Kluyveromyces lactis: one gene and its partners. Each later gene encodes a partner of the first gene's protein in a complex. Links are inferred from orthologs where the notes say so. Each region holds a gene or a part of one and is shown in the gene's direction. Other genes may lie near its edges. The genes, in order: KGD2, KGD4 and KGD1.

Evidence for each region.
Region 2: KGD2 (region 1) and KGD4 share a complex: the UniProt entries of both Saccharomyces cerevisiae proteins name them as parts of the 2-oxoglutarate dehydrogenase complex. The link is inferred for Kluyveromyces lactis from reciprocal best matches to the Saccharomyces cerevisiae genes KGD2 and KGD4.
Region 3: KGD2 (region 1) and KGD1 share a complex: the UniProt entries of both Saccharomyces cerevisiae proteins name them as parts of the 2-oxoglutarate dehydrogenase complex. The link is inferred for Kluyveromyces lactis from reciprocal best matches to the Saccharomyces cerevisiae genes KGD2 and KGD1.

What each region holds. Positions count from the first base shown.
Region 1 is NC_006040.1:1,394,344-1,404,714, reverse strand, and holds KGD2 (dihydrolipoyl transsuccinylase), read left to right. Parts: upstream 1-8,458; coding exon 8,459-9,865; downstream 9,866-10,371. Other genes in the region: NUM1 (Num1p), read right to left, coding at 1-4,802; SLX4 (Slx4p), read right to left, coding at 5,259-7,337. UniProt on the Saccharomyces cerevisiae protein: The 2-oxoglutarate dehydrogenase complex catalyzes the overall conversion of 2-oxoglutarate to succinyl-CoA and CO(2).
Region 2 is NC_006040.1:986,137-995,538, reverse strand, and holds KGD4 (alpha-ketoglutarate dehydrogenase subunit KGD4), read left to right. Parts: upstream 1-4,439; coding exon 4,440-4,841; downstream 4,842-9,402. Other genes in the region: KLLA0_D11638g (uncharacterized protein), read right to left, coding at 1-452; CAM1 (translation elongation factor EF1B gamma), read right to left, coding at 1,395-2,054; DIG1 (Dig1p), read left to right, coding at 2,674-3,792; 3',5'-cyclic-nucleotide phosphodiesterase PDE1, read right to left, coding at 5,181-6,287; PRE4 (proteasome core particle subunit beta 7), read right to left, coding at 6,898-7,695; RTG2 (Rtg2p), read right to left, coding at 8,121-9,402. UniProt on the Saccharomyces cerevisiae protein: Molecular adapter that is necessary to a form a stable 2-oxoglutarate dehydrogenase enzyme complex (OGDC).
Region 3 is NC_006042.1:427,445-438,782, reverse strand, and holds KGD1 (alpha-ketoglutarate dehydrogenase KGD1), read left to right. Parts: upstream 1-5,997; coding exon 5,998-9,051; downstream 9,052-11,338. Other genes in the region: RSC chromatin remodeling complex ATPase subunit STH1, read left to right, coding at 1-3,134; RPL9B (60S ribosomal protein uL6), read left to right, coding at 3,639-4,214; AYR1 (acylglycerone-phosphate reductase), read left to right, coding at 9,856-10,773. UniProt on the Saccharomyces cerevisiae protein: The 2-oxoglutarate dehydrogenase complex catalyzes the overall conversion of 2-oxoglutarate to succinyl-CoA and CO(2).

The sequences.
Region 1 (10,371 bases):
GTGAAATTAACAGGGACCAACTTCAAAGCAAAACGTGAAGCATACAACTGTAAATCGTCATATGTAATATTATCACTATGCGCCTTTCTTTGTAATAAGTTATTATATTCTTCGGAGGGAAGAACAGTGAGATCAAAGGCTTTTGCCCCATTATAAATATCCGTCTTTGTTAATTCGTGCTTTTGTTGATTCTCGAGAAGCCTTTTGTACTCATCGTTTGAAAGTCTTACAAATCCTAATAACTTTCCTGATTCTAATACCACCTCTTTATTTGAATTCTCTTTCTTGATAACATTTTCGAAATATAGCTTGCTTGCTGCGACTTTCGATCTTGGTGACATTGAAGAAACTTCAACCTCTTTTTTCAGTTTTTCAATAAGAGCATCGTATGATTCTTCACTAAGAACAACAAGACCCAATTTCGCTGCAAGTTTTTCAATATCAATTTTGGTGAGAGAAGAGAGTTTTTTGGCCTCGTTTTGTAAATTCTCATATTCCTTGTCACCCAGGAGCTTGTACCCGTATTTTGGCGCGGTCGCTACAACTGATTCTTCAGATGGATTATCAACTTGGGTCTTCAAGAAAGCCAATTCCTCACGGTCAATAACAGTTAGCGCTAATGGTTCGACTAGCTGTTTTACTTTCTCTATCGAAGGAACTGTTAACTCCTTATAGTGTTTTTCAGGTAGAGGAATCAAATCGAACTTTGAACACAGACCTATCACCTCCTGTTTGGAAATTGAATCAACATTTGAGGAATTGAGACTTTTGTAGGTCTCAGCATCAAGTACCACATGACCTTTTTCTGTTATTTGCTTTTGTAGGATGTGCAGGGAAGGATTGGACAAAGAATCATAATCAGCTTCCGGAACAACTACAAGTCCGAGACTTCTCGCACTTCTCTGTAAACCCTGCTCGTCAGTAACTGCTGACATTTGTAACTTATTATGTTCTTCAATCGGTAGTAAAACTTGTTTGTGTTGCTGCGCTTTTTCTTGCAAGAATTCTAAAGATGGACTAGTCAAGTTAAGTTGAAGTTCATTGAACTTTTTCGTGGGAACTACGCTATACCCATTGATGTCGCAAACCTCCTTTGATCTTTTGATTGAAGGGTTATTGATTGCGAGCTGTAGCTCTTCGTACTCGACAGTTGGTAGAACCTTGCATTCAATTCTAGCAGCCAGTTGTTCCACTTCTTTCACCGTAGGTTCGTTTGTTTTTCTTTGCAAATTGTCATATTTCTGTTGATCGATCAAACGTTTGCCAATATTGCTTGCCCTATTTGATAAGTGTGCAATAGAAGGATTTTCATATGAGGTCTTGAGCTCTTCAATAGATTCAATTGGTAACAGGGCGAGTCCAAGAGTTCCAGCCATGTTTTCTAAATATTCTCTAGATGGGTGCTCTAATTTCGATTTCAAGCCCTCCAGTTCATCGAATGGTAACATAGTTTGATGATGAAGTTTAGCCTTCTCCTTCAAAAACGTCAATGAGGGAGAGTCTTTCATAGCCATTAGATTTTCATATTCGTTCAGCTGTACGGGAACCATTTTATAGGTTGAGAGGTGTCTGGATAAATCTTTTAGTTGTGGATTGTTTGATTTGTTTATCAAATCTTCGTAAGACTTACTATCTAAGACCACATGACCATGTTCCTTGACTTTCTTAATCAATTCATCCTCTGAAAGTAGTGCAACTTTCGAGCTTTCCTGTAATTTCTGGTATGCTTCAGCAGCAACAGGCTTTAGATTGTATTTGTCACAGAGTTTAAAAGTTTCATCTTTAGTTACTTTATCTATAACGGGAGCCATTAATTTTGAGTATCCTTCTTTTGAAACTGCAACGTAACCCAATGTTTCCAATCTGTTAGTTAATTGGTCGATGTCAACATTGTCGATTGACTTTTGTTTAAAGGAATTGAAATCTGGCGCAGTGACTGGAACAAATCCAAAATTCTTAATAGATTCGAGTAACATTGTTTTATCACTGCCCTTATGAACTAACTTTTCATACTCTTTCTGTTCGATAGTAACCATACCGATATCCTTTGCCTTTTCAATGATGAAGTTTCTTGATGGTTCATTTACGGTCTTATTCAAATAATCGTAGTCACTCTGCGATACAATCAAGTGGCCAGTTACAGCTGCCAAGTGCTGCATTTCTTGGATGGTCGGGTCTGATGACTTTCTCAAAAGCTCTGAGTGGTCAGTCTTTAGGATTATATCATAGTTTTTCTCTGCTGCCTTTTCCGATAAAAAGTTCAAAGTTGGAGATTCTAGCTGTTCCTTCAACTTATGAAGGTCCTCCTGTTTGATAATAGTATAATTGAGAGCTAGTAGTTTATCTTTCAGGTGTTCAAAGGGAGGATTTTGAGCTAAGTTTCTTAGGTTCTCTATTTCAGCTTGACTGAGCAAGGTGTAATCTAAAGCTTTGGCAGCTTTCTTTAGATGATCCAGTGGAGGAGTATTAGCTAGTTCTGTTAATTTGTGATACTCAGTGGTGCGTATAGGTGTTATGGACTTTCTTTCCGCCAACCACAGCAATAAAGACTCCATATCGTCACTAGAAAGCGATGATTGAATAGCTTCAATTGAAGGATGAGTGTTTCCATGCATTAGTCTGGTGTGCTCCTCATTTGGAAGAAGAACATGATCTTTTGACTTAGCACATTCTTTCAACCTATTAATATCTGGACTTTCAGCTTTGCATTTCAGATCAATTAGATCCTTATCAGGTATTACCGAGAGTTTGTGATTTGCAGCAATTTTTTCCACTTTATCGATAGAAGGATTCAGTAGCTCATGGTAATCTTTGTTAGATATTAAAATATGGTCGTGAGTGGTAGCTAACTGTTGGACGTCTTCGATACTTGGTTCAGTGAGTTGGGACAATTTACTCTTCGTTAGTACAGTTAATCCTTTTGCATCTGCTTTGGCCTGCAAATATTCTTCAGACGGGCTTTCCAATTTAGCTTTTATATCAGTCAATTGTGACTGTTTCAATACCTGAAGTCCTCTGGACTGGGCATGGTTTGTTAATGCCTCAACATCCGGTTTCCTCAAATTTTCATACTCATCAATGTCGATAATGGTTTTTTGAAGCTTGTGAGCCTTACTCTCGAGATATGACAGGGACGGACTTTCGGAAGCATGAAGCAAATTCTCATAGTCCTTTTTACTTAACGCAGTGTAGTCTTTACTTTCTAATGATTTTTTCAAAGTTTCCATCGATGGATCATTCAATGATTGGTACTCTTCTTCTTTGATAGCAGTGAGGTTGAGCCTCTTCAGATTCGAAACTAGATAATCCTCAGTGGGATGCTTAAAAATCTCTTCTATATCCACTTTCTCATTATTTGTTAAACTAGAAGTATCAAAATACCCTAGCGTAGAAAGTCTGGAAAGAATATGCTTTGATAATGTGTCATCTGAGATTGTGCTAGGAGTTTTCGATTTTTTTAATTCATCTAGTTCAGTAATTGGGACAAGTGCGAAATTGTGCGTTTTTGCGTATCTTTCTATATCTTCATAGTCAAGTTCATTAATAAAGTCTTCATCATGTTCAAAGGGGCCCTCCGAAATGGGGTCTCTCACATAGTCCATAGTTTCCGAAACAAAACTTTCAGCGTCAATATCACTGATATCAGCATTACTTGACTTGCCAGGCGATGGTATTACATTCCAGTCACCTGATTCATTATCTGTAACTTCGTAATTGAAGCTGGAAGTATTGGACTTTTGAGGAGTAGAAGCAGATCCTATAAAAGATAAACCGCCTTTATTCTTACCTCTGGGAGACTTTGAAGGTAATGGAGAGTTCATGGTGCTGTCAGCCTTGACTCTGTTGAGCTTCTGCTTTAATCTTACAATTAACTGATTAGCATGATTTAAGTTGGCTTTTAAGGTCTGATTTTCTAGATTTGAATCAATCGGTTTCTTCAAGGAACTATCATCGGAACCCTCCATACCTCCTCCGATCAGTTTTACGGCAGGTGATGGTTTTTGTTCTGATGTAGCAATCGCAGTATCGTCTTTGCCCTGTGCAGAGGTGCCTTTCCTCTCTTCTATTTCTTTTGTTAATGAAGTGACCTTCTCACTCAACATGTTAACTTTATTATGCAGCTGATCATTCTCATTGTTCAACTCTTCCACATGTCTTTTCAGCTCCTTAATTTCATTCGAATGAACTTTTTTACTAGAAGCCAATTCGGACTTTAATCCCATACGTTCCAAAGAACTTTCCTCCAGTTCAGTTTTCATATCCTTAGAAAGCTCAATCTGCCTTTCAAGTTCACTTTTATTTTTATTGAAGTTTTCAGTCAACTCTTGGAACTCCTTAGATAAACTTTGCAATTTCATTTCTTGTCGCCAATTAGTGTCCTTTAAAGAATCCTCATTTTTGGTCATAGATTCATGCTTCACTGTTAACCGCTCAAGATTTATTTTCAACTTTTCATAGTCGGCCTGCAAAGAGGATAATTTGGCGGACTTACGTTCGTTCTGTGCTTGTAAGCGTCTGCATTCGACGAGTAAGTTCTCGCTTAAACCAACAACAAAGTTCACATCCTCGCCTGAATTGGCATTTATGACACCTGCATGAGCAGAGCTTCCTGCAAAAACAGGTAACGAAGCCCTATTATCTCTCTTACTCAAGACATTGGAAAATGGTAAACTGGGGTCCTCAGAATTAACATGAGAAAGAGCTTCTTGATGTTTTTGTTGTTCCTGCAACCTGTTCAATTTAAACTTCAATTCATCTCGGCTGGACCGTTTATCAGACTGCGAAGATCCCTTTCCTGACATATTTCCTGGGATTTTACTGTCGCTTCTGGGGCGCACTTCTCCAAATTGCCCGAAATCACTCAATTGTTGCCGTTCTGAATAAAAACCGAAGGACAGTGCTAAAGTTTAAGGACTTCAGTGCTATATGCTTCAAAGATTACTGAGCGTAGATTCCAATTTCCTTTTCGATTATGTTTTGTTTGTTTTGTTTATAGAATCGTTCGATCTGAAAGAAACTGACAATTTTTGATGAGCTGTTTTGACTGCATAACGTTACCCGGATTTCTCAATAAACAATGCAGCTATTGACTCGCCTTGTCTTGCTTTGATAGAGCCTTGCTCACATTCGGTATATGTTTTGAATAGGCAGTCAGACCAATGTATTCATTGAGAGTCTATTATGTTCCTTTGACGCCATGTATTTGGGCTTCTATTGAAAAAAAAATGCTGATAATTATACACATGGATGCTAACATACTATGGAGACAATGATGGCGACTGCAGTTGGGATAATGATTGTGAGAGCAACCGTGATTGAGATTGAGATTGGCTTTGTGACAACAAGGGGTTCTCAGTATCATTTCTGAATACAATCCCGTTTAAATCTGCCCAATTTTTGATAAAACTATCGTCGATTAGTTCAGTGAATGAGTTCAAGGATACTAGCCATTCTTTCAACTGTTCGTAACGAATAGGCTCAAAAGTGTATATTTGTTCCATTAATAATGCAGATTCATCACGATTTTGTACTATAAGGTCCGTGAGGAATTGCTTGAGTTGAATTGATCTATCCTCATCTGAGGACCCCGGGAATTTGGATTCCAATGTCTCCCATACTTGCAACATCTGAACTTTGTTCTTACAAGGTTTTAATCCGATCACCTTGAAAGACCTTCGTAGCTTCGCGGTGTTCGGAGATGCATTTTGTGTTGTGAGTAGGGCAGGCTGAAGTTGTGAATCTAGAGAATCTGTGGCTGAAACTGGGGTTTTCAATTTTTGAGATTGAGATTTCCGTAGAGAGGGGAACTGGCCAAGATGAGTTTGAGGAGCATCATGAACCTCCATAATGGAATAGCTACCTCTTTCATCTTCGCTATCTATAACAATTTCGTTATTATCATCATGCAACATAGAAGTAGTTAAAGTAGACAAACTTTCTTGCTCTTGCGTATCTACCTCCCCCTTAACACTGGCGAAAACGTCATTAGAGTCCCTATTGCTATCAACATATATCTTGACGACATTAGCAGGTTTTGAAGCTTGTTGCTGATTCTGTTGTTGTTGGTCTTGAAAGGTAGTAGTTCTCGTTGCGGGCACCTGAATAGTCCCGGTTCTTTGGGCCTTCATTGGAGATACGATGGAGGACACTACATCGTAAGACGTTTGTGATATGTTTATCAGTTGATCGTTTATGTTTGCCCTGGAATATTCCCTTTTCGTTTTCTCACCAGTGGGTAAAGTCTTGGAATCTGGTGGTAAATAGCATGGTATATCGTAATCGACGTCTGCCTTGTTCTTGTCTTGAATCATGAAACTCAGCTCTTCAAAGCTAATGATAGACCCGCTATCGCATGAATCGGCTATCTGAGACGGTACATCCGTCTCAGATGAAGGCACGTCTATGCTAATTGGTAGTTCCTGTTCGATGACAGAGCTTGGGTTCGAGATCGGTTTGAACCTCAATCCATCTTCCGTTGAGCACCGGTTATTACTGCTTTCTCCTTCGACAAGTTGAGACAACGTATACACAGGCGCATTGTTATCCAACGTTAAACTTGGAAGAATAGTCTCAGACTCTCCATCTGAGCACTGAGAAGATATCTGCTTTTCTGGGGATAACTGAGACGCTTTCCAAAGATTGTGCTGTTCATCAGCACCGTATACGTATTGCTGTACCGAGTTTAGCTCGCTTCTAGAAACTTTTGGTAATTTTTCTCGTAGGAGGCCAACGATATGTTGCCATTCTGATTCATTAAAGGGCGCAAATTGTGTCGGATGAGAATCCTGTAAACTTTCCGCATCTGCAGATGCCTCCGAGTCCAATTTCGACACCAATTTTTTAACCTTGGCAGATTTACCCGAAAGAATCGAAATCATCTTCTGAGCCCTATCCTTCACTCTATTTGATTCCCAATTATCTGTATTGAACTGGGTAATACTCTTGATTCTTTTCTGCAATCGTGCTGTCGGCTGCTTGACCTTTGAGGATTTTATCACTTTCTTGACTGGCACTTTTTTGGAAGACACCAGTGGAATATCCGCTTGATCTTGTGTTTCCAGCGCAAATCTTGACAGAACATTGCGGAAGGTGTGCACCACAGTCTCCTGGTGGTTCAGTTCATCTATGGCACCTTGGACTTGAGTAGAGATCAGAATATCATCATCACCTTCCTCCGGTGGAATCTCAGTCTCCTGCTCCTCATCTTGATCCTCATCATCGCTGAACATAGTAGGAACCTGAGTCATGCAAATATCACCCTGTTCCACTGAATCTTCAGACAAATGATCGTTCACCATCAGCAAATGCCTACCAGCTTTTTCCAACTCATCATGCATCAGGAAAGAGAGGTTTGCTATTGAATTCTCTGTCTATATCTTACAAGTATACCAGTCACCTGGTATATCAGCAGTCCTTTCCAATTGACGCACCGCAAGGCCACTCATAAACATACGTTGGTACAGTAACACACTAACACGTACTATATATATAGAGAGAGAGAGAAATAGAGAGAAATAGAGTTTGGGATACATAATGATAAATGCCAGCATGATTCCAAATCAAGAATAGTAAATACAATTATAGAGATGAACCTCAAATTGCATAGAAGCAGTGAGAAATCGAGAAAACGCGATATTTTTTCATGCATTGCACGAAATAAAACAGGGTTAGTCGGGGTAATACGAATGTAATACGAACGTACTCTACACGTGACTTGTTATTACTTATTCCTTATTCCCGGAACTCTTCTTACTTTTTATGGCCTCAGTTCGACTCCCGGAGCGACCCCTTCGGTGCAATTAAATCCAATCCTCCCGTCCTTCATCACTCACTCTTAACGATCCGGACCGGATTATTTAGTCTTTCTTTGTGCTCTCTGCTCTTCTGTTCTGGTCGGCGCCGAGTCTCCGTCATATCACTTCATACGAGCTGGTATTCCGGTAATTGGCTCCGCCAAAGGGCCCTATTTTCCAAGTTTTTTGAGTAAGCACATTTTAATTACCTACTGTATGCACTTTCGCCATTATTATATATATATTATATATATAATAATGATAATAAAGTTCAATTCTTTGAAAGGTTGCCTTTAAACATTGAATGTTTAACCCCAGGATTTATAAAACGGTCCGTTTTTGAGCTAATTTTGACTACAGTTTGAATTAAATAGAAAGACAGATACTTTTTTCTGATTCCTGTTGAGAAAATAAGGAACCTTTTTGAATTCGTACCAAATTTTTCCTTCTTTCTTTCTTTTGAATCATAATCATCATAAATTATCACATTTGATAATTTTGTTTCTAAACCAAATATAGAGCAAAGGTATTCAAGTCAGTTGAATCCATTTACTCTTCAGAAATAACATTCGGAAATATACTCAGGTCTCGGAGTGTATCTACAAACACAGATTATAATATAATATATTATCCTTTTTCACTTTTGGTTTTGTCCCATTCCAACAATGTTAAGGAGTTCTACTAGAGTTGCAGTTAAATCTGCTTTGCACAAGCCTTTGGTTCGTTGTGCTACTGTTTCACAATTAGAAGCGGTTAGAAGTTTTAGTTCAAGCCGAATTTCTTCCGATATCTCTTCAAGAAATGGATCTTTTAACGCCGTGAGTCGTCGTTCTTCTGGTCCATTCCAATTCCGTTGTTCCCCTTCTCAGTTGAACACTAGATTCATGGCAGTTCGTCATGCTACTTCTGTGCCGGTTCCTCCTATGGCTGAATCGTTGACTGAAGGTTCTTTGAAGGAATACACTAAGAAAGTCGGAGATTTCATCGAAAAGGACGAACTGTTGGCTACTATCGAAACCGATAAGATCGACGTCGAAGTCATTTCTCCTATCTCCGGTACCATTGCGAAGTTGAACTTCTCTCCAGATGATACTGTTACCGTTGGTGAAGAGATTGCTCAAATTGAGCCAGGTGAAGCTCCTGCTGGCGGTGCTGCCGCTTCAGAGTCCTCTTCCGCTTCTGCACCTGCTGCTGAAGAACAGCAACAACAGGCTGCTCCTAAGAAGGAAGAGCAACCAGCCACTCCAAAGAAGGAAGAAAAGGCCGCTGCTCCAGCTCCAAAGAAGGAGGAAAAACCAGCCGCTGCTGCTCCAAAGAAGACTGAAGTTGACTCATCTGCTACTGAATCCTCTACCCCATCTTTCACTCAATTCTCCCGTAACGAACATAAGGTCAAGATGAACCGTATGAGAATGAGAATCGCTGAAAGATTAAAGGAATCTCAAAACACTGCTGCTTCTTTGACCACTTTCAACGAAGTTGACATGTCCGCTGTCTTGGAAATGAGAAAATTATACAAAGATGAAATCATCAAGACTAAGAACGTTAAATTCGGTTTCATGGGTCTTTTCTCTAAGGCTTGTACTTTGGCCGCTAAGGATATTCCAGCTGTAAATGGTGCTATCTCCGGAGATCAAATCCTTTACCGTGATTACACCGATATCTCTATCGCTGTCGCTACTCCAAAGGGTTTGGTTACCCCAGTGGTTCGTAACGCTGAATCATTGTCTGTTTTAGAAATTGAACAAGAAATTGTCAGATTGGGTAAGAAGGCCAGAGATGGTAAGTTGACTTTGGAAGATATGGCTGGTGGTACTTTCACCATCTCTAACGGTGGTGTCTTCGGTTCATTGTACGGTACCCCAATCATTAACATGCCACAAACGGCTGTTTTAGGTTTGCACGGTGTTAAGGAAAGACCTGTCACTGTTAATGGTCAAATCGTCTCTAGACCAATGATGTACTTGGCTTTGACTTATGACCATAGGTTGTTGGATGGTAGAGAGGCTGTTACTTTCTTGAGAACTGTCAAGGAATTGATTGAAGATCCAAGAAAGATGCTTTTGGCTTAAATTTGATTTAAAGAGTTCTCCATCTTTATAGATATTGTTCTTCTTTTTTTTTTGGCATCACAGAAACTCCCGCTCTGCACTCATGCAAATGTATCCATTCACCTTCTGCAATATATGTGAGGGAGAGAGAAGTATTCTTTATCTAACAATGGTTACATATATGCGTATTCCTCAGCTCTATGACTGTTTCCAGATATTGGCAAACGGACTTGAAGAAAAAAAGAAGAAAAGTAGGCTAATCAACAATACAAGACAAAAGAAAACAACAAAAGGATATCTAAAAAAAAAATCGGGCTTTCTGATTTGCAAGATATGTGAAGTATAATGCATTTATACTATCAAGCTGATACCAATTCCAGTCATGATATTCTAAACAAACATTATACTCATACTTTGATTTCAAGCCGATTCTGAATTACGACGACTTATTCATGATTTATTATGTAAAACACCAACTATTTTCCCCACATTCTCCAGTGTATTGTTCATATAGTCATTTTTTTGTA
Region 2 (9,402 bases), about 400 kb from region 1:
CCCGCTATCACATGATCTGCGATTTCACTTGCTATCTCTCTGAATTGTGTTTGAGAGATTGGTCCCTTTCCGATTTTCTCATCATACATCGTGGATAGTACGTTACCCACAGGTGATACTATCGTGTTATCATTGGTAGATGACCCTATGATTCCCTGCTGTAACGGTTTTAATGCCTCCTGAAATTTATCCCATATCCATTGTTGAGATTTGGCCGATTTCTCACCAATCCCATACCATCTTGCTACAGTGTCCCATAGCATTGGGGCCAGTGTTGTATAAAACCACATGCTACTACTCTCTTGGAACCCTAGGAATAACTCGTTCCGATGAGCTTTCCCCTCACGGGTATGATCCAGATCCGTAATGAAATTCGTACTGTACTGTGGCCCATATTCAAACCCAGATACGACATCCAAGGCAAGAGCCAAAAACAAAGAATACACGTTCATCGGTTTCCCCAATTCTTATCTATCTGAATCCATGCTTTATCAACTTTGGCGCTGATATAAACGCCGCTTTGTATCACATTACTCTTGGAGTATATTTTCGAAATGTTCTTCTTCTTTTGGATATGGGTCTTTGTATCACCGGTACTGAAAATGTTCCTCGTGTTGAAGTTACCAAACTGAGAATAGAACCCCACACCATTGTTTTCGAACTCTTGTAGGGAAATTTCCCATGTAAATCTGTTTCACGTACTTGAAGGAATTGAAGGCTACCTCGTTCGGACCTATCTGTACTAGATCCCCGTACTTCTCATGCAATCTTTGTAAATATTCATTACGTTGTTCCGTACGAGCCTTGTTCAATATGAACCAACTGCTCAACTTCAGATGTTTCGGCCCAGGTAGTGAACTCAATGGACTGAAGACCAATGGGTATATGACGAAGTAATGCAACAAGCCGATTAGGATGACTATTAATGTCACGATCATTGCAGTGGTATTCAATCAGACAGGAAGTTTCAAGCAGAAAGGGCAGACAGTCAGACAGTCCTTGCCGGTTGGTTTCTGTTCCCAAATACCGTTTGTAGACTTCTTCCAAGCTGATCTTGTATTTTCCCTTTTCTCCACTAGTGGTTGCTCCATCTTTATCTCTCTTTATATGGAAAGAAATCTCGATAATATGAGTAATCATCCCGAATATGCAACATGGTGGGAAAATGAACACTGCTATTACAGCGTAAACCCCTTCATGTTTACATTCTGTTACAGTCCCGGAATTTCTATCTCTTATAGGACTGCTTTTCCCGGATAGACCGGCTAGTACCTAATTCGTTCGAGGTAACTTCTCGCTTGACGATCTTTGAAGCTTATCTCATAGACAAAGTGTTACTGATAGAGAAGACATGTATATAAAGAGATGTATAAACTTGAAATTTGTCAATGCGATCATTTGGTTGGTGGGTTTGGCAATGGTTCGTCGCAGAGTGTAATACCCTCCCATAAGAAAGACACGAATGGATCTTCAGTGATATTAGTGAACCATTGCGTCAACTTTGCATGTTCTTCACGCCATTTCTTTCCGTACAAAGTCTCGAAGATCCTAGTGAAAATAATAGCACTCAAATAATCTGCAAGGGACGCACGGTCACCAACGAGGTACTTGTGGTCGTTCAAACGTTGTTCGTACCTTTGGACAAGTCTGTCCAATTCTGCATATGCGTCATCCACTTGTTTCTTATTGTAAGGGCTTCTGCCGTTCAACGGGAATGCACCGCGAGTAAAAGCTAGGCACAAGTCTGTATTGGCAAGAGATAGCCATTGCAACACCTCAGCTTTTTCCTTGTTGCCCTTACCTAGTAGACGCTGGATCTCAGCATTGTTATCGCTCAAGTTGACCAAGTAAACTAAGATTGCAAGCTGTTGCGTTAACTTAAACCCATCAGAACCAACGTAACATGGAACTTTCTTCAATGGGAACAACTTAGACCAGTACTCTACGTTGCTCTCTGGCTCCAAGATCTTAACGTCCAAACTCAAGCTTTTCACAATTGCGCGAGGTAACCAGGTTCTAATACGGAAATTCGCAAACAATGTGCCTTGTGACATTTTCGAATTCTCTATAATGTTGATAGAATTAACTAATTGGATCTTTACCTTAAAACCTCAAAAAAGTAAACACAATCGATGCTTATGAAACTAGTTTGGTTCGATAGCACAGCACTGTAACTACAATTGTCAAGTTTGAGATTCCTAGCAGTAGTGGTAGAACTTTAAGCACACAAATTTTCCTTTTCTCCTTTCTTTATCCGTTTGCATTCGTTCCATAATGTCTTCCCAATGTAGTTTCCTTTTTAGTCCCTTTATATAGAAAATGTGAAACATTTCCGTTAAAGGCTTTGAAAGAACGTGAACGACAGCAACACTGGATGGCAACAGTGTTCTCAGAGTCACGGTAGGTAAGGCAGGTAAAGCAAAGTTGCATATTTACGGATTGCTATCTCTGAGAGGTTTTGTATTCAATTGGACTGTACATATAGCCGTTGAAGATTAAGTGAGGGTCTGATAAATAATAAACATTTCGTGTCTTCTGTGACTTTAGTGGTATATATAAACACACTAACACGAGAGATACACTAGCGGTGGATAGATTTGAGTACTGTGATAAGACAGCTGTGCATCTCAGTGTTTTATCCGGACAGTAGCGCTGAAATAAGTAGTAGAAAACATGCCAATGACAGATCAAATGCCCTCACCACCAAGTATAGAAATTTCTGATTCGCAGTACCAGAAGCTTGGATTGCAGTGTATCTCGCCAGGGATAGCGACTGCTAATTTGGATGACGAACGGTTGCAAACGTTTAACAAATCGAAGTACATTGCGATGCAGCAGAAGAGACAGATCAGGCGTATGAATTTGGATTCTGTAACGATAAATGAGGATGAGCATGAACACGAGCATGAGCAAGAAAACGAGCAAGACGAAGAGCAAGATGACGAGAAAGAACACGAAAAAGAACATGAACAGGATGAAGACCAAGAACAAGAACAAGATGATGAAAACACGAAACTTGCTGAGAAAGCTGGTACCAGCATCAAAAATAATAATAATATTACAGCCTCAGACCTGGAAACTGACAAATCATCCTCAAGTAATTCGATAGATGGTACCACCACTCCTGGTACCGAGACTTCAATCAACACTTCCAAGAGTCAATCCAAATCATTGAAAAGAAATAACATACCAAAACCACTTACGTTAAAATCAAAGCAAAATACACCTAATGGATCATTACCCAATATAAGGTCAGCTCCACCGATGGTAACAAGACATCCAATTCCAAGTTCACATACATTCTCACAAAGAACCAGCAGAGTGTCGAAACCAAGAGTCATTTATAAAGGCCGGTCTTTGACCAGAAACTTAGCGGGCCAAATTCCGATGTTTCAAACTTCGTCACCCATCGTGCCGCGTCCCCTGATGAGACATCAATATGCGCCAATGACAGCTTACCCTACAACCACCGCACCACCTCACACCCAACGTAGTTTCGAACAATTCGTGTCGAACCCTATCAGAGCCACTAATTCAGTGACAAGGGACGTTTTCAAGGATGAAACTACAAGAATTGCTCCATTAAGCGTACAACCTAAATCCACCAAGAGAGAATTCTTTGATGCCATTGAAATCGAAGACCATAGCAACAACGTCGTCATAGAAGGCGATATACAACTGATGATGGAAAATTTCCAATTCCATTTCGATTCAACGGACCCTCAAATGGATAAGAAGCTCTTCCTCAGCATTTGTTCCAAAATATGGGACGATGTAGTAAGCAGGGAATAGGCGCTCCTTTTCCCCACCCTCATATAACATATTTGTAACTTTAAACAACTTGATCGAGTGCATGGCGTCACTAGACCATCCAGATGAATAACGGTTGGGACAGACGTGACACTCTGTCACGTGACACTCGTGGTCACGTGGCTCACGTAATCGGATTTCCGGTCGTCCTCTACGCGTTCCCAATCGGGGCCGATACAATGGCCGGGTAATATATTAATTCCTCGAAGTATCCCAATATGCTTGCCAACCTTTAACGGTCTTGATGTATATATATATATACATACTCTCTATCAGTTTTATTAAGGCTCTCGGTTTATAAGGTTCCTGTAACTGAGTAGATTGCCAATTAACAGATAAAATTGTTGGTTACTTGTGAATCGTTGATTGAACAGTCGAAGTAAGAATAGTAACCAGGTTTTTTTCCCACTTTTGTGTTAAGGTTTCCTCATTTTGTGATACATCCGATTTTGATTCCCGAAGGTATTGCAATTCAAGATCGTTATTTAGACCATTCACTTGCTGTAAGAAGTGATTAATCCACCGTGACGTTCATTGATAGATTAACGAGATCAGTGACCCAGATATTGAAAAAGGCTCGCGGATCTGGTGTTGAAACTTTGAATAAAGAGATTATAAAGCCTGTAAAGATGCGTGCTTCCACTCTTAACTTGGCTAAAGCAGTCAAATATGTTCCTTCAATCAAGTTTGTTGGCGGCCCTCACCCTGTAGTGACCCATTCTGCTGCGGATGCTGGTTTACATCCTTGTACCGTTGACTCACTAAGGCCTGGTGCTCCCGGTTGTTCTACGGTCGAAGAAGTCGCAAAGAAATGGCTTCCATTCAAGGTGGTTCCATACGTGAACTCAAATAAGAGTGCTTCCGGTAAGGGTTCCTCTACTAAAGCTGCTGGTAATTCACCAAAATATGTGTTTAAAAACAGACCTTTGGAAGAAAATGAAGTTGGATCCATATCACAATTACCCCCAAGATTCAAACTGAGACCTATGGACGAACAAGAGATAGAAATCATTAACGGAGGTGGTATATGATAGGATCTCCTTTTTTTCAGCCTCTCATTTTTCCATAATCGTTAAAGAAACATAATACCAATACATTTATTTATCATAGTTGTACGAACTCACTTGGTTCTGCAATATCTACGACTCATTGAACAGCAAACGATCCATTTCGAATACAATTCTTTTTTTTTTAGAAAACACCATTATCTATTATGATTAATACAACAATTCTACTTTTACCTATTAATTATTACATCTATAACCTTTTGGTGCCAAACATCCTTGCCATTCTTTTGTCTATGTGATTGGTCCTGCCCAGGCAATGGGATAAGGATGAATTTTTTTCAAATTATCACGCTAATCTGTATATCAAAGAATCATTGTAAAACCTTGGATCGCCATGGAAAAACTGATATTATATTTGTCTAATCCTTGCTGTTTGCACCTTTTATTTACCTGTTTCAACACAGTGATTTTGGGATCCTCTTCTGAATCGATATCCTTCACATGTGTTAGAATCACATGCAAGCTAAAATTCTCTGGCTTCACATCGTATACCTCTATTAGCCTTTTCAATTCCCATATAATATGCTGAGGACACAAGTGCCCGTATAATTTGCTTGTATCCACTTCGTCTGTGTTAGAACACTCAAGTACGATGGCCTTCAAGTTATTAATGGGTACATTCTCTGCTAGATATGTCCATATGTTGAGTAAAGAGTCTGTCTTGGAGACAAGATCTGATTCAGTGTCACCACAAATCAGAACATGTCCATCAGTTTGGTGCTCATGGAATAGAAACGCTGTGCTCAGTACAGGTTCTTTGGTATCTATTGTTTGACCATGATTCAACGTAAACGGTATGCAATCAATGCCCTGTATTGAATAGGTATTCCTGCGAATCGAAGGTTCTAGTGCTTCTAATCTGATCGTGTTGTCTGTGGTGAAATCGGGCCAAATCTTATCATTGAATATATGTTCTTTTATCGCTTGTATGGTATGTTCTGTGCCATAAACGTTCTTATAGGATCCCAGTTTGGTGTAAATTAATGGGGCATTGAGTATTAGACCCATCATATGATCGAGGTGCGGATGTGTGATATAATATTCCCTAACTTCGGAGAATATTTCACAAGCGGTCCTCATAATGCTGCTGTGGGCCTCTGCGCTTTTCTTCAGGAACACTTCACTTGGTGTACCAAACCCAATGGTACACCGTACCCCTTGTGCAAGAAATCGTGAAACGTCTTCGGCACTAGATTTGTATAGACTCTTGACTAAGAACGTGTTACCGTATTCCTGTGCGTAGATCATATCTGCGATCTCAGCTAGTCCGGACCCCGCATCAATGCAAATATATCCTGATTCACTCGATCCTGCGCGTTTCATCAAGAAACTCTGTGTATGATTGTTTAGGGGGCCCCCACAGCTTCCTAAGATAGTTAGTTCAAATGAGCATCCAGGATACGTAGACATCTTTTCACTTTCGAAACCAGAATGGAAATATATCGCAAGATATCGGTAAAAATCTGTTTCCTGGCGTATAGATGCCTACCCTACAAGCCAGTTGTATTTGAGAGTATGGAATATAGGTATACTGGGCTAGCGCTATAAGTCCTCTAGTCTTTCCTTTGTCGATGATTCATTAATCAATTAGGTTACTACTTGTTTATATAGAATTAAACTTGTTTTCTAAAAGAATTGGAACTGTAAAAGAATAAAGAAAGGTAACTCCAACGATAACCTTCATATATACAGGTCCCTTCACTCGAAATATCTTAGTGACATAATGACTGAGCTGGCTGTCCAGTAGTTGACAGCATTGACGCCGTTTTGATCAGTTTCTTTCTTGGTGTATTATGTGTGAATATGTGCCCTAATTCAGAATTTACGCATAGTATACATTTATAGAGAAAACACAGAAGAGGTGAGGTCTTCCCGTTATTGACAAAGAAAGTATATATTACCAGAGCAGGATCACCATGTGTTGCTCTTCCTTTGTTGGCATGAGATTGTGTATTTTGGTGCAAGTATTATCTGCGTGGATAAGTGAAAGCATGAAGACAAGACGAAGTAAATCCGAAACCTATACCTTTTGGGTACCATATCCTCTGATGTCTTTGGCGAATTCCCAAGACATATTCTCTACTTGTAGGTCCTTTTCGATATTGAGCCCCAGTTCATTGTCGATTATAGCCAATGAAAACTTACGTGAACTACGGGCATCACGGTAGTATAATATTTTCATTGCCTCTAGGATAGCTTTCTTAGCAACATCTAGATTCACTTTTTCCACGTCCTTTTCGGTGTCTACTAGCTTTCTTAAAAGGGGCAATGCCAAGTGGGCACCGAACCCTGTAGCCAACGTTGGCGAAGAGTATGTGACACCTAATAGGTTAACGTATCTTAAAAATGGCTTTCCATCTTCTGTGCCCCCTACAATTATCGCATTCCATAAAGGATCTAACTTGGATCTACGTTGGTACATCACAGATGATAGATATTCAAAAACGAAGCTTGGTTTCAATTGCTCCTCATTATCCGCATATGCGCTATCGTAATTGTTTTCAATTTCCATCTCGTCTAATAGATGTTGAATGTATTGCATATCGGAAATGTCACCGGATACACCAACAACCGTGTTGGGACCCACTTTGATCAATCTCTCCTCGTTTGTGAAACGTAATAACGAACCGTAAGCACCTAGATTATCAGCTGCAACAATAACACCGTTATTATACTTAATACTGATGACAGAAGTACCGGTAATAATAGGGTTCTGAGTATTCATCTTTGGATTATTTGACGCTTGGGCAATGGCATGATTGTACGCGCCATAGTGTTCGTCAGATGGCCTTCCCCAGGCAAATGGATCGTGATTCATGTTGGAAAGTGTTTCAATGGATTGGATTCGCAGAAAATACCCTTGGTGACTCTTTAGTGTTGATTGTAACCTGTCGTGAAGTGAACTCCTTATGTATTAATTATGAATTGCATGTCTCTCTTATATTCGATAGTGGCAAAATCGTTCTAATAAGGTAAAATGTTAAAGGGCGGGTAACGCTATATTTTTCCAGCTAAAACAGAGTGATCAACAGAGGATACGACCATCGGATAGTAGTACACAGCAGCGCACTACACTACCTATATGGCGCTTTCACGAATATTTATATCACATTTTAGGGTCTGAGGCTTGTTACAAACAGGGTAAATTAGATATTAAATCTTCAACAGGAAGGGAGGCTGAGGGAAGTAAAATAAAGAGCATTCTATATAAAGCCTATACATACTGAGATCGCAATTGAGTGTTCAATAGAATTCTACATTGATCTTAACCTTGTCGCTGGAACCACGGGATAATTTCCTTATTTTCTTTTGCAACGTGATGATTCTTTGCCTCACAGAAGCAATAGTCTTTAGATCGTTTCTGTTAATCTTGACAACAACTTCGAATATCCTCTTGTTCGGGTTCCCTGTTGGAGTTGGCTTGCCGTTTCCTGAAAGGTTCTCATCTATAGATAGCATCTGTAAATCAATAGCCGATTCATCTTTCTCCGAAGTGCTGAAATGGAAGACACCATCTCCAATGTTACCACCAGGGTGAACACCACAAATGACATACATGATAGTGCCAATGTATTTTGTCCACCATATTGTCCTTTCACGTTCTAGTTTGTCACCATCTCTTAGTGCAATGTCTTCCAATAGCTTTTTGTACACTTCTTCAGGTTCTGGTATGTCTCCACCCCATCTATTGCACAATGCTATTCCCACCAAAGCTCTTGATCTGTGAGATAGCCCATGACACCCAGCAATGATACCAGATGTACCTACACGTAGTGCTGCGGTCGGTTGTAGTTCCTTTGGATATGAAGCGTGTACGAAAGCGAGGTTACAAAGAGCAGGAGCTATTCTTTCGTATACTATCTTTGGAATCTCTTTAGTAGGTATAGCAGTCCTTAATAGTTCCAAATATTTGTGAACAAGCAAAGGAGCATAGGGTCTGGTTGCAATGACAAGTGGATCCTGTGCTCTAATCTCCCTTGGAAGAATCGAGTATAAAGTACCTTCTCTGACACCACCTTCACTGAAATGAACGTTTTTGATCTTGGGCAATGACTCGGAAGCTGCTGCCATGAGTAGGCCTACAGCTGGTAATTGTTTGGCTCTTCTATCAGAGACTTTAAAGATCTTACTTGCCGATTCACCTGGAACTCTCTCCTTCAAAAACAAGTAGTCACACATGTTTGAGAACTCGCTAAAACTGCATGAAAATCCATTTATAATTGTTTGAATAGGATATTCTTTGATCTGCGATAATAGAAGATGACCCATCCCTCGCAAGCCACCACCGCATGTATATAAATCGAACCCGCCGTTTAACTGTGCTTCATCGTACATCTCCTTGGGGATGCCAATCTTTGTGACTGCAGACTTGTAAGCATCCACAATTTCCTGAAGTAAGACGTGCTTGCTTTCGAATTTCATTCTTCTTGTCAGAGCACCGGCCCCAAATGGTAATGAAACCGGGGTAGATGATTGAGTAATTTCCCCATTAACACATTTGATCCAAGATAGTTGAGTACTACCA
Region 3 (11,338 bases), on another chromosome or scaffold:
GAAAGAGGCTGATTGAAAGTGTTGCAGCTAAATCGCATAATATCATTCCATCTCTCCGTGACTCTCCTTATACTTTAGCAGCTCAAAGATCCATTCATGTTAGACCGAAGACCATCGTTCCACAAACTGCTAGATTAGCAGAAGAACTTGAAAGGCAGGAATTGGTAGAAAGCAGGAGAAGAGAAAGAAACTTACGGTTACAAAGGATCAATAATATTGTATCAAGTATCAACGAAAGATTGGAGAATGATACAACACAACGTGATCGCTGTTATCAAATGGGTAGATCTATCGGAAACTTGCATGGTCATTTGGAGAAAGATGAGCAGAGAAGAATGGAAAGAACTGCCAAGCAACGTTTAGCAGCCTTGAAGTCCAATGATGAAGAAGCATATTTGAAATTGTTAGACCAAACCAAAGATACAAGAATTACACATCTATTGAAACAAACTAATTCTTTCTTGGATTCTCTTGCTCAAGCGGTTAGAGTGCAGCAAAATGAGGTACGCATCAAAAGGGGTGAAGAAATTCCTCCAATCACGGATGAAGAAAGAGAAAAAATTGATTATTACGAGGTTTCCCACAGAATTAAGGAAACAGTAGACAAACAGCCAAGCATATTGGTTGGAGGCACGTTGAAAGAGTATCAACTAAAGGGTTTAGAGTGGATGGTGTCTCTATACAATAATCATCTTAACGGTATTCTCGCAGATGAAATGGGTCTAGGTAAAACAATTCAATCCATCTCGTTGATCAGTTATCTTTATGAAATAAAGAACGAGAGGCAACCATTTTTGGTGATTGTCCCTTTATCCACCATCACGAACTGGACTATAGAATTCGAAAAATGGGCACCTTCTCTAAGAACCATTGTGTACAAAGGGAACCCAAACCAACGTAAGGCTTTGCAACATACAATCAAAATGGGAAATTTCGACGTGGTTCTAACTACTTATGAGTACATTATAAAGGATCGTCCACTGTTGGCCAAACACGATTGGGCTCATATGATTATCGATGAAGGTCATAGAATGAAAAACGCTCAATCAAAACTATCTTACACGTTGACACATTACTACAAAACAAAAAATAGGCTAATTTTAACGGGTACTCCATTGCAAAATAATCTACCAGAATTGTGGGCTCTATTAAATTTTGTTTTACCTAAGATCTTTAATTCCTCAAAAACATTTGACGAATGGTTTAATACACCATTCGCGAACACAGGTACTCAAGAAAAGCTAGAAATGACAGAAGAAGAAACGCTTCTAGTTATTAGAAGATTGCACAAAGTTTTACGTCCATTTTTGTTACGTCGTTTGAAGAAGGAAGTCGAAAAAGATTTACCTGACAAAGTTGAGAAGGTTGTGAAATGTAAGCTATCAAGTCTCCAGCAGCAACTATACGAACAAATGTTAAAACATAATGCTTTCTTTATTGGTGCAGGAACAGAAGGTGCAACCAAGGCTGGTATCAAAGGTTTGAACAACAAGGTCATGCAGTTAAGGAAGATATGTAATCATCCATTCGTTTTCGATGAGGTTGAAAATGTTATCAACCCAACGAGAGAGAACAGCTCCATTTTGTATCGTGTTAGTGGTAAATTTGAACTTCTAGACCGAGTTCTTCCAAAATTTAAAGCGTCAGGTCATAGAGTATTGATGTTTTTCCAGATGACTCAAGTTATGGATATCATGGAAGATTTCTTAAGGATGCGAGACCTTAAATATATGAGATTGGATGGTGGTACCAAAGCAGAGGATAGAACTGGAATGTTAAAACTGTTTAATGCACCCGATTCTGAGTACTTCTGCTTTTTACTTTCTACCAGAGCTGGTGGGTTAGGTCTAAATTTGCAGACTGCTGATACGGTCATTATTTTCGATACTGATTGGAATCCTCATCAGGATTTACAAGCCCAAGATAGAGCTCACAGAATTGGGCAGAAGAACGAAGTTCGTATTTTGAGATTAATAACAACCGATTCCGTCGAAGAAGTTATTCTAGAGAGAGCAATGCAAAAATTGGATATTGATGGTAAAGTTATTCAAGCCGGTAAATTTGACAATAAATCTACTGCTGAAGAACAAGAAGAATTTTTGCGTAGATTATTGGAAGGTGATACTAACAAAGACGATGAATATTCTGGTGAATTAGACGACGAAGAATTAAATGAAATTCTCGCACGTACTGAAGACGAGAAAGTGCTGTTCAAAAAGATTGATGAAGAACGTGTAGCTAATGAGAAGAGAGAAGCCATCGATTTAGGTTTGAGAAAGCCACTGCCGAGGTTGATCACCAAGGAAGAGTTACCTTCAGTATTCACTGAAGATATCACTGACCATTTGAATGTTGAGCCTGCTGCTATTGGCAGAATCAGAGAAAGAAAGAGAGTCTATTACGATGATGGTTTAACAGAGGAACAATGGTTACAAGCTGTCGATAATGATGAGGACTTAGATGAAACCATTGAACGTCAAAGAGCTGCTCGTGAAAAACGTCAAAGAAAACAATTAGGATTGGAAAGTCTAGAAAATAGCGTTGAGCCTGAAGAATCTTCCTCAACATCCAATACTGTAATATCTGCTGAGCAAGCCGTAACTCCTGCTCGTGAAAATGGTAGAACTCGTTCTAGGAGAAAGGTTGTCGCTACTCCTTCGACTACTCCTGAAGAGGAGTCGGAATTGGGTGAAGAGAAAGAAGCGAAACCGGTAAAACAAGATGCAGGACCTTTAAAAAAGAAGATCAAACTCAAGCTTAACATGAAAAAAGATGACGCTCCCACCAAACGCAAAGAAGAACCACCTTTAAAAGATAAAGTCGAGGCACTATTGGCTTTACTAAGAGAGTTAACTGATCCAACGGATGAGCATTCAAGAACTTTCATTTTCGAAAGATTACCTTCAAGGAAGGAGTATCCGGACTACTACAAGGTTATTGAGAAGCCAGTAGCATTAGAGACGATAACAAAGAAGTTGAACAAGAAACAATACCAATCTATCAACGAAGTAAAGTCGGACTTGGAGACCATGTTCAATAACGCTAAGCTTTACAATGAAGAGGGTTCCTGGGTCTTCAATGACGCAGAAGCCTTGGAAGAATTTGCGATTGACTGGTTCTCGAAGAATGAGTAATGAACCCCCAAAAACGCTACTGGCAAGATTGTAAAATTACGTTAAAAACGAACACATAATAGGGGAAAGAAACAGACTGCTTATAAAATGTAGTGAATTCCACGTATTACCTTTAATAAATTCTTTTGAAAAACCTGACGATATATACAGAGTACTTAAAGACGATATGTATATAGCTCAAAGTATTTGAATCAATAACTGACGACATGCAAATACATAATATCGTAAAACACCAAATATATGCACCTTCATAACACCCACACGTCTCACACAACATATTGGGACTGTTTTCTTTACTTCTGTTTTGAATTACGACGCAAATTAAATTTCCCTTTTGAAAAAATTTTCAAATGAAAAAAAGCTGTCCAGACTCTGGTGATATATAATCAGAATACGGAAAGCCATATTTTTCAACTTACAACTTTCACAGCAGTAGTACGGTACTGTTCAATTCTACTGTATAACTTTGCTCAACCAACCAAAGCAAACGACACATAACCAAAAATGAAGTACATTCAAACTGACCAAGTCCTAGATGTCCCAGAAGGTGTTACCGTTCAAATCAGATCCAGAATAATCAAGGTTACTGGACCAAGAGGTGTCTTGACTAAGAACTTGAAGCACATCGATGTTACCTTCACCAAGGTCTCTAACAGACAAATTAAGATCACCGTCCACAACGGTGACAGAAAGCACGTTGCTGCTTTGAGAACTGTTAAGTCTTTGATTTCTAACTTGATCACTGGTGTCACCAAGGGTTACAAGTACAAGTTGAGATACGTTTACGCGCATTTCCCAATCAACGTTAACGTCATTGAAAAGGACGGTGCTAAGTTCATCGAAATCAGAAACTTCTTGGGTGACAAGAAGGTCAGAGAAGTTCCAGTCAGAGAAGGTGTTTCTGTTGACTTCTCTACCAACCAAAAGGACGAAATCGTCTTGTCTGGTAACTCTGTTGAAAACGTTTCCCAAAACGCTGCTGACATCCAACAAATCTGTCGTGTTAGAAACAAGGATATTCGTAAATTCTTGGATGGTATCTATGTCTCTGAAAAGGGTCTGATCGAAGAAGAAGAATAAGCGAACCAAAATTTCGGATACTTTTGACACGTTACTGTACACTAGCGAGGAAGACGTTCTCCCCTCAGAGGTGGATGTTCTATATAAGTAGATAGATTCAGATTATGTACTTTGTCTTTCTCTTTGCCATCTTCCGATAATCAAGTATCGGAAGAATACGATAGGGGGAAACGTTGCTAGAGCTCGATTCAATATAGAGCCACTTTACGTTTCCTCAATTCTTTTTGATGTTAAATCACTGATTCTTTTCCTTCTTAATCATAACAATTGCCTGGAGTTTTCAACTATAAAATTTCCGAAGATGAGTTGAGCCTCAAAAACCTGTAGTCTAGTGTAGCTTAACCTTGAGAGTAGTAGTATTGGAAGTATCGAACGAAGATTGATTGAAACATCTTGAACCAAGTGATAATCAAGCAATGGTCAAGTGACAGCAAAGAATTTCTCGCGACCGAGTTGGGTTGACGAATGTCCGTACACCACATACCGTCAACCGCACTCAGCCTTTGCTTACACTTTAAAACCCATCAGCCAGTCTGGCACGGAGTTGCATAGTACTTATCTGAATATGGAATACTGAAAAGAAAATGTTGAAACGTTACCCGGAATTCCGGGCTGTCCCACAAAATGAATCTGGTAGTTTCCCGTCTTCGAATCCGAAAACGGGTCACCGGACCCCTACTCGCAGACCATGCCCTACAGCTTTTACTATCTGGCATTCTCGTATTGTTGAAAACTGAGTAAGCGGCACTAAAACACTTGTTTGTTCCACCATGTAGCAAGGAAACCTTATGCAAAAACCACATAAAGCTGCTAGAGAGCTACAGGCATTAAAGGTATCAGTACCGATTCGAAGAAAGAAAGAAAATGGGAGTGAGGATCAAAACCGGGGAAATGGCACGAGAGAGATATTGGTGGTCCATTTAATAGTTGAATGAGTGCTTTTTTTTCACACAAAATCGTGAATATATATAGTGCATCTACTATTTCCTATATAAATACTGGTTCTTACTATTTTTATAGAAGAGGTATTTATTATTTTCAAGATTCAAGAGGCCTGCCTTAATACAATTAAGATAGGAGACAGAAGGAAAATAATAACGGAGTTTATTATTTGCCTGTTAAATTAAACTCGTCTAGTAAACGCAATACTCGACTCTCTGGCACTGTTTGAGTTCTGCTTACTCTAATTTAGTTTTTTTGTTGGTATTTCTGTTTTTTATCGGCTAAAAAGTATAAAAGATACAGGATTTATACATTAATTTCACTGCTTATTTAAGTGAAAGAGAACGGGAAATTAAAAAAATCGGGGGTATTTTTTCAAGATCTTCCGACAAGAAAAAAAAGATTGAAGAAGCTTTATTTCAACTTCGTGTTCGCAAGTAGGATATCTCTTTTTTTCAATTAATTAGGAACGTTAACAAAAACAGTCAATTTTGAATCGAAGTTTTTGCCTGTTGTCGTCTTAGTTTCTGACTCTACTACTATCAAGTACTTCTTCTTTTGTTCCCTTTTTTTGTGAGTAATTTTGGATTGAAAATTCACAAAGAAGAGCCATAAAAAAATAAAAACAAAAGAAGATATAAACGAGAAAGATTCATTGAAAGTTAATCATCGTTGAAAAGTTCAACATTTTGTGAATTGCAAGGGATTTTTTTACTTGATAACTGGATATATCAATTTTACAACACACGTACAGAACAAAGCGACCATCTATTGATTTAAGGTTTGTGTTTTGCTTCTTTCGTTATACAGAAAAGAACAAAAAATAACTGTCTTTTGAACAATGTTGAGAACTATAAGGTCATCTCAGCGTTTGTTACATGCTTCTAAATTCACCAGGATCGGTGCTGTAAGCAAACCGACTTCCTTGGCTGTTTTCAGTCGTGGATTGGCTAGTGGTGCATCTTCGACGGACAACTTCCTGTCCACCACCAATGCATCATATATCGATGAGATGTACGAAGCTTGGCAAAAGGATCCCACTTCAGTTCATGTCTCTTGGGATGCTTATTTCAAGAACATGGGTAATCTGAATATTCCAGCCTCTTCTGCCTTCACCGCCCCACCAACATTAATTCCAATACCAACGGGTCCTGGTGTGCCTCAAGATATATTGATAGGGGGTTCGTTAAGTGGCGTTGACCAAGACATCACAACACATTTAAAAGTGCAACTTTTGTGCCGTGCTTACCAAGTAAGAGGTCACCAGAAGGCTCATATTGATCCGTTACAAATTTCATTTGGTGATGATAAGAGTAAACCTCTACCTCGTGAGTTGACTTTGGAACACTATGGATTCACAGAAAAGGATCTAGATAGAGATATCACATTGGGACCCGGTATCTTGCCACGTTTCTCTCGTGATGGTAGAAAGACCATGAAACTAAGAGAAATTATTGCTGCTTTGGAAAAATTGTACTGTTCTGGATACGGTATCGAATACATTCATATCCCTTCAAAAGAACAATGTGAATGGTTAAGAGAAAGAATTGAAATCCCACAACCTTATAATTATACCGTAGACCAAAAGAGACAAATTTTGGATAGACTGACTTGGGCTACTTCTTTTGAAACTTTCTTATCTACTAAATTCCCTAACGATAAGAGATTCGGTTTGGAAGGTTTAGAAGGTGTTGTTCCTGGTATCAAGACCTTGATTGACCGTTCCGTTGAATTAGGTGTTGAAGATGTTGTCTTGGGTATGGCTCATCGTGGTAGATTAAACGTTTTGTCTAATGTGGTGCGTAAACCAAACGAATCCATCTTCTCAGAATTTAAGGGTTCTGTTGCTCCAGAAGAATACGAGGGTTCCGGTGATGTGAAATATCATTTGGGTATGAATTACCAAAGACCAACTACCTCTGGTAAATACGTTAACTTGTCTTTGGTTGCTAACCCATCTCATTTGGAAGCCGCTGATCCTGTTGTTTTGGGTAGAACTAGAGCCATCCAGTTCTCTAAGAACGATATTGGCAAGTATGACAAGGCCATCAGCGTCCTATTGCACGGTGATGCTGCTTTCGCTGCTCAAGGTATCGTTTACGAAACCATGGGTTTCCTACATTTGCCAGCATACTCTACTGGTGGTACCATTCACGTTATCACAAACAACCAAATCGGTTTCACTACTGATCCAAGATTCGCTAGATCAACTCTATACCCATCTGATTTGGGTAAAACCATTGATGCTCCTATCTTCCATGTAAATGCCAACGATGTTGAAGCTCTTACATTCATTTTCAACTTGGCTGCTGAATGGAGAGCTACTTTCCACACTGATGCCATTATTGACGTCGTCGGATGGAGAAAGCATGGTCATAATGAAACTGACCAACCTTCCTTCACACAACCATTAATGTACCAAAAGATTTCTAAGCAAAAATCTGTCATTGACGTTTACACGGAAAAGTTGGTATCTGAAGGTTCCTTCACCAAGCAAGATATCGATGAACATAAGAAATGGGTTTGGGGTCTATTCGAGGAAGCATATGAGAAGGCAAAGGACTATAAGCCAACTTCAAGAGAATGGTTAACTGCTGCTTGGGAAGGTTTCAAGTCTCCAAAGGCTTTAGCTACTGAAATCTTATCCCACGAACCAACCGTCGTTGATGCTGATACTTTGAAGAACATTGGTAAGACCATCTCCTCATGGCCAGAGAACTTCGAAGTTCATAAGAACTTGAAGAGAATTTTAACCAACAGAGGTAAAGCAGTTGAATCCGGTGAAGGTATTGACTGGTCTACCGGTGAAGCATTAGCTTTCGGTTCCTTAGTGTTGGAAGGTAATCACGTCAGAGTTTCTGGTGAAGATGTTGAAAGAGGTACCTTTTCACAAAGACATGCTGTTCTTCACGACCAAAAATCCGAGAATACTTACACTCCATTAAAGCACTTGTCTGAAAAACAAGCTAACTTCACCATCTGTAATTCTTCGTTGTCTGAATACGGTTGTATGGGTTTCGAGTATGGTTACTCTTTGACTAACCCAGATTATTTCGTTGTTTGGGAAGCTCAATTCGGTGATTTCGCCAACACTGCTCAAGTCATCATCGATCAATTCATTGCCGCTGGTGAAGTGAAATGGAAGCAAAGATCCGGGTTAGTCTTGTCCTTGCCTCACGGTTACGATGGTCAAGGTCCAGAGCATTCTTCAGGTAGATTGGAGAGATTCTTGCAACTAGGTAACGAAGATCCAAGATATTTCCCAAGTGAAGAAAAGTTGCAAAGACAACATCAAGATTGTAACTTCCAAATTGTTTATCCAACCACTCCAGCCAACTTATTCCACATCCTAAGAAGACAACAACATAGACAATTCCGTAAGCCACTGGCATTGTTCTTCTCTAAGCAATTGTTACGTCACCCATTGGCTAGATCCAACTTGAACGAATTCACCGAAGGTGGCTTCCAATGGATCATAGAAGATGTCGAATTAGGTAAGAGCATTGCACCAAAGGAAGAGATTAAGCGAGTTGTTTTATTGTCAGGTCAAGTTTACACTGCTTTGCATAAAAAACGTGAAACTATCCAAGACAAGAACACTGCATTCATTAAGATTGAACAACTACATCCATTCCCATACGCTCAATTGCGTGATGCCTTAAACACCTATCCAAACTTGGAAGACATCGTTTGGTGTCAAGAAGAACCATTAAACATGGGTGGATGGGCATATGCTCAACCAAGATTGCAAACTACCTTGAAGGAAACTGACAAATACAAGGATGCTATTATTAGATATGCTGGTAGAAACCCAAGTGGTTCCGTTGCTGCGGGTTCCAAGGCATTGCACAACGCCGAAGAAGAAGCTTTCTTGAAGGAAGTCTTTGGCCAATAGGTTAGTTACTGCGCGTTTATTCTTTCCTCTTCAAATTATTGGCTGCTATCTTTTATTCATAAAAAGCTCATCGAAACACAAAAAAAATGAAAAGTCATCCTTATGGGGAAGGCTATGGCTTCATGAGAACTTTTTATTGATACGGTACTGTTATGCTTTATCATATTCAGAAAAAATTCTTTTGCGCTTCTGCATTCGAAGAACCAAAACTCAAATATATTTCTTTAACTACTGTCTACTACGTTTATGAATTTATCATGAAGAATATTTATATATATATATATATAAAAATACCAATGTGTATTTTTCAAACAGACTTCCATGAAGCAATTAATGATCAAATCATCAATAGAACAAACAATGAAAATTATCATTCATCATAATTCATTCTTCCTTCATCATTTTAAGAAATCTCAGAAACACTGAAGGATATGAGTTCTTGATCTAGCTTTGCTTGTTCCTTGTTCAAATTTGCGGAGTTAGAAAGTTTTGATTTCATTTTACATATGTAAGCGTAATATGATATTTATTTATTATTATTTTTATAAAAATATGTAATATTATATTAGTATAAAAAATTCCATTCATATTACATTTCTTTAAGGAAATAAAAGGGAAATACACTATAACAAGCAAAAAAAAAAAAAATCATCAAATAAAAATTGGAAACTTCAAAACACAGGATTAATGATGACTAGCAAAAGTGAAGTCACCAAAGCTTATCGACATTCTACTCTAAGCATAGTCCCTTACGAATACCGTAAAAGATAATCTAATTCATAGAGAGCACAAAAACATATCAATATGAGTGAGACAAAATATGCTTTGGTCACTGGTGCATCATCAGGGATTGGTTATGAAGTCACAAAGGAGTTATTGAGGAGAGGGTGGTACGTGTACGCATGTGCCAGAAGAACACATCCTATGGAGGAATTAAGAGCCGAGTTTGGAGATAGATGCATCCCTAGGAAACTTGATGTTTCGAATCAGAATGATATCACCCAGTTGAAGTTGAAGTTGGAGCAAGAATTACCAGATCAGAAGCTACATCTATTATATAATAACGCTGGCCAAAGCTGCTCTCTGCCCGCAATAGACGTGAGCGAAGAAATCATCGATAATACATTCAGAGTAAACGTTTATGGACCCATCAACTCATGTCGTGAATTCGCACCATTAATCATAAACGCTAAGGGGACAATCGTCTTCACTGGGTCATTAGCTGGGATATGTCCATTTCCGTTTGGAGCAGTGTACAGCGCATCAAAGGCTGCGATTCATCAATACGCTCGGGTGTTACACGGAGAATTAGGTCCTTTGGGCGTACGTGTCATTAACATGATTACAGGAGGTGTAGCCACAGACATCGCTGATAAGAAGACATTACCAGAAGGTAGTATCTTCAACTTCCCGGAGGGTATCAAAGCCGTTGAAACCCGTAAGAAGATGTCAGAGAAGAATCAACCGATGTCACCAGCTGATTACGCAAGAGAAACGGTGAATGATATCGAAAACGGCAGCATTGACCCGGTGGATATATACCGGGGAACGATGGCCACGGTAGTGAAATGGTTAATGCTACTGATTCCATACGCATTGCTAGAATGGGGATTACGCAAGAAATTCAAACTGTATCCGGCGTATTCCGTTTTGAATAAACGTCAATTGCAAAGCCAACGCCAACGTCAACGTCTTCTTGAAAATACTATCAAACATGACTGAAACATATGATTGGAGCCATTTACAGTCAATTATTATGCATATATATATATATATATATATATATATATGTACATGATATTCTCTTTACGTACTATTTAATGAAAATATCCAGACGGTAAACATACTTCCATACTTCAAAACCCAGCAAGACAAACAAGCAAAAAAACGCGCACGGAGGTATTCCTGAAACAACAACAGTGTATCCCGTCCCCCTTAATCCTTTCCTTTTCGTTTACTGTTCTCTTATAACCCTTGTAGATGCTGGGAACAGGTTCCTTTTAGGAAGTAAATTCAGCTGCACTATGCGCAGTCTGTTTGTTTACCATAGAATCATGTTATACATTTTTGCTTAGAACAGGCGCTATAACTGTTGAGCGAGAGCTTGGATTGAGTTAAAACCCCGCACAGTACAAACAAAAACAAAAACAAAACAAACATGATGGAAGTATGAATCCGGGTAATACGTCGAAAAGAAAGCTTCTGAAATTTCTGTTGATTATATAATAAGTTAACTTGCTTTTCTCAGAACGAGCTGCACTGCTATTACTTCTCGCGTCATCGGGAT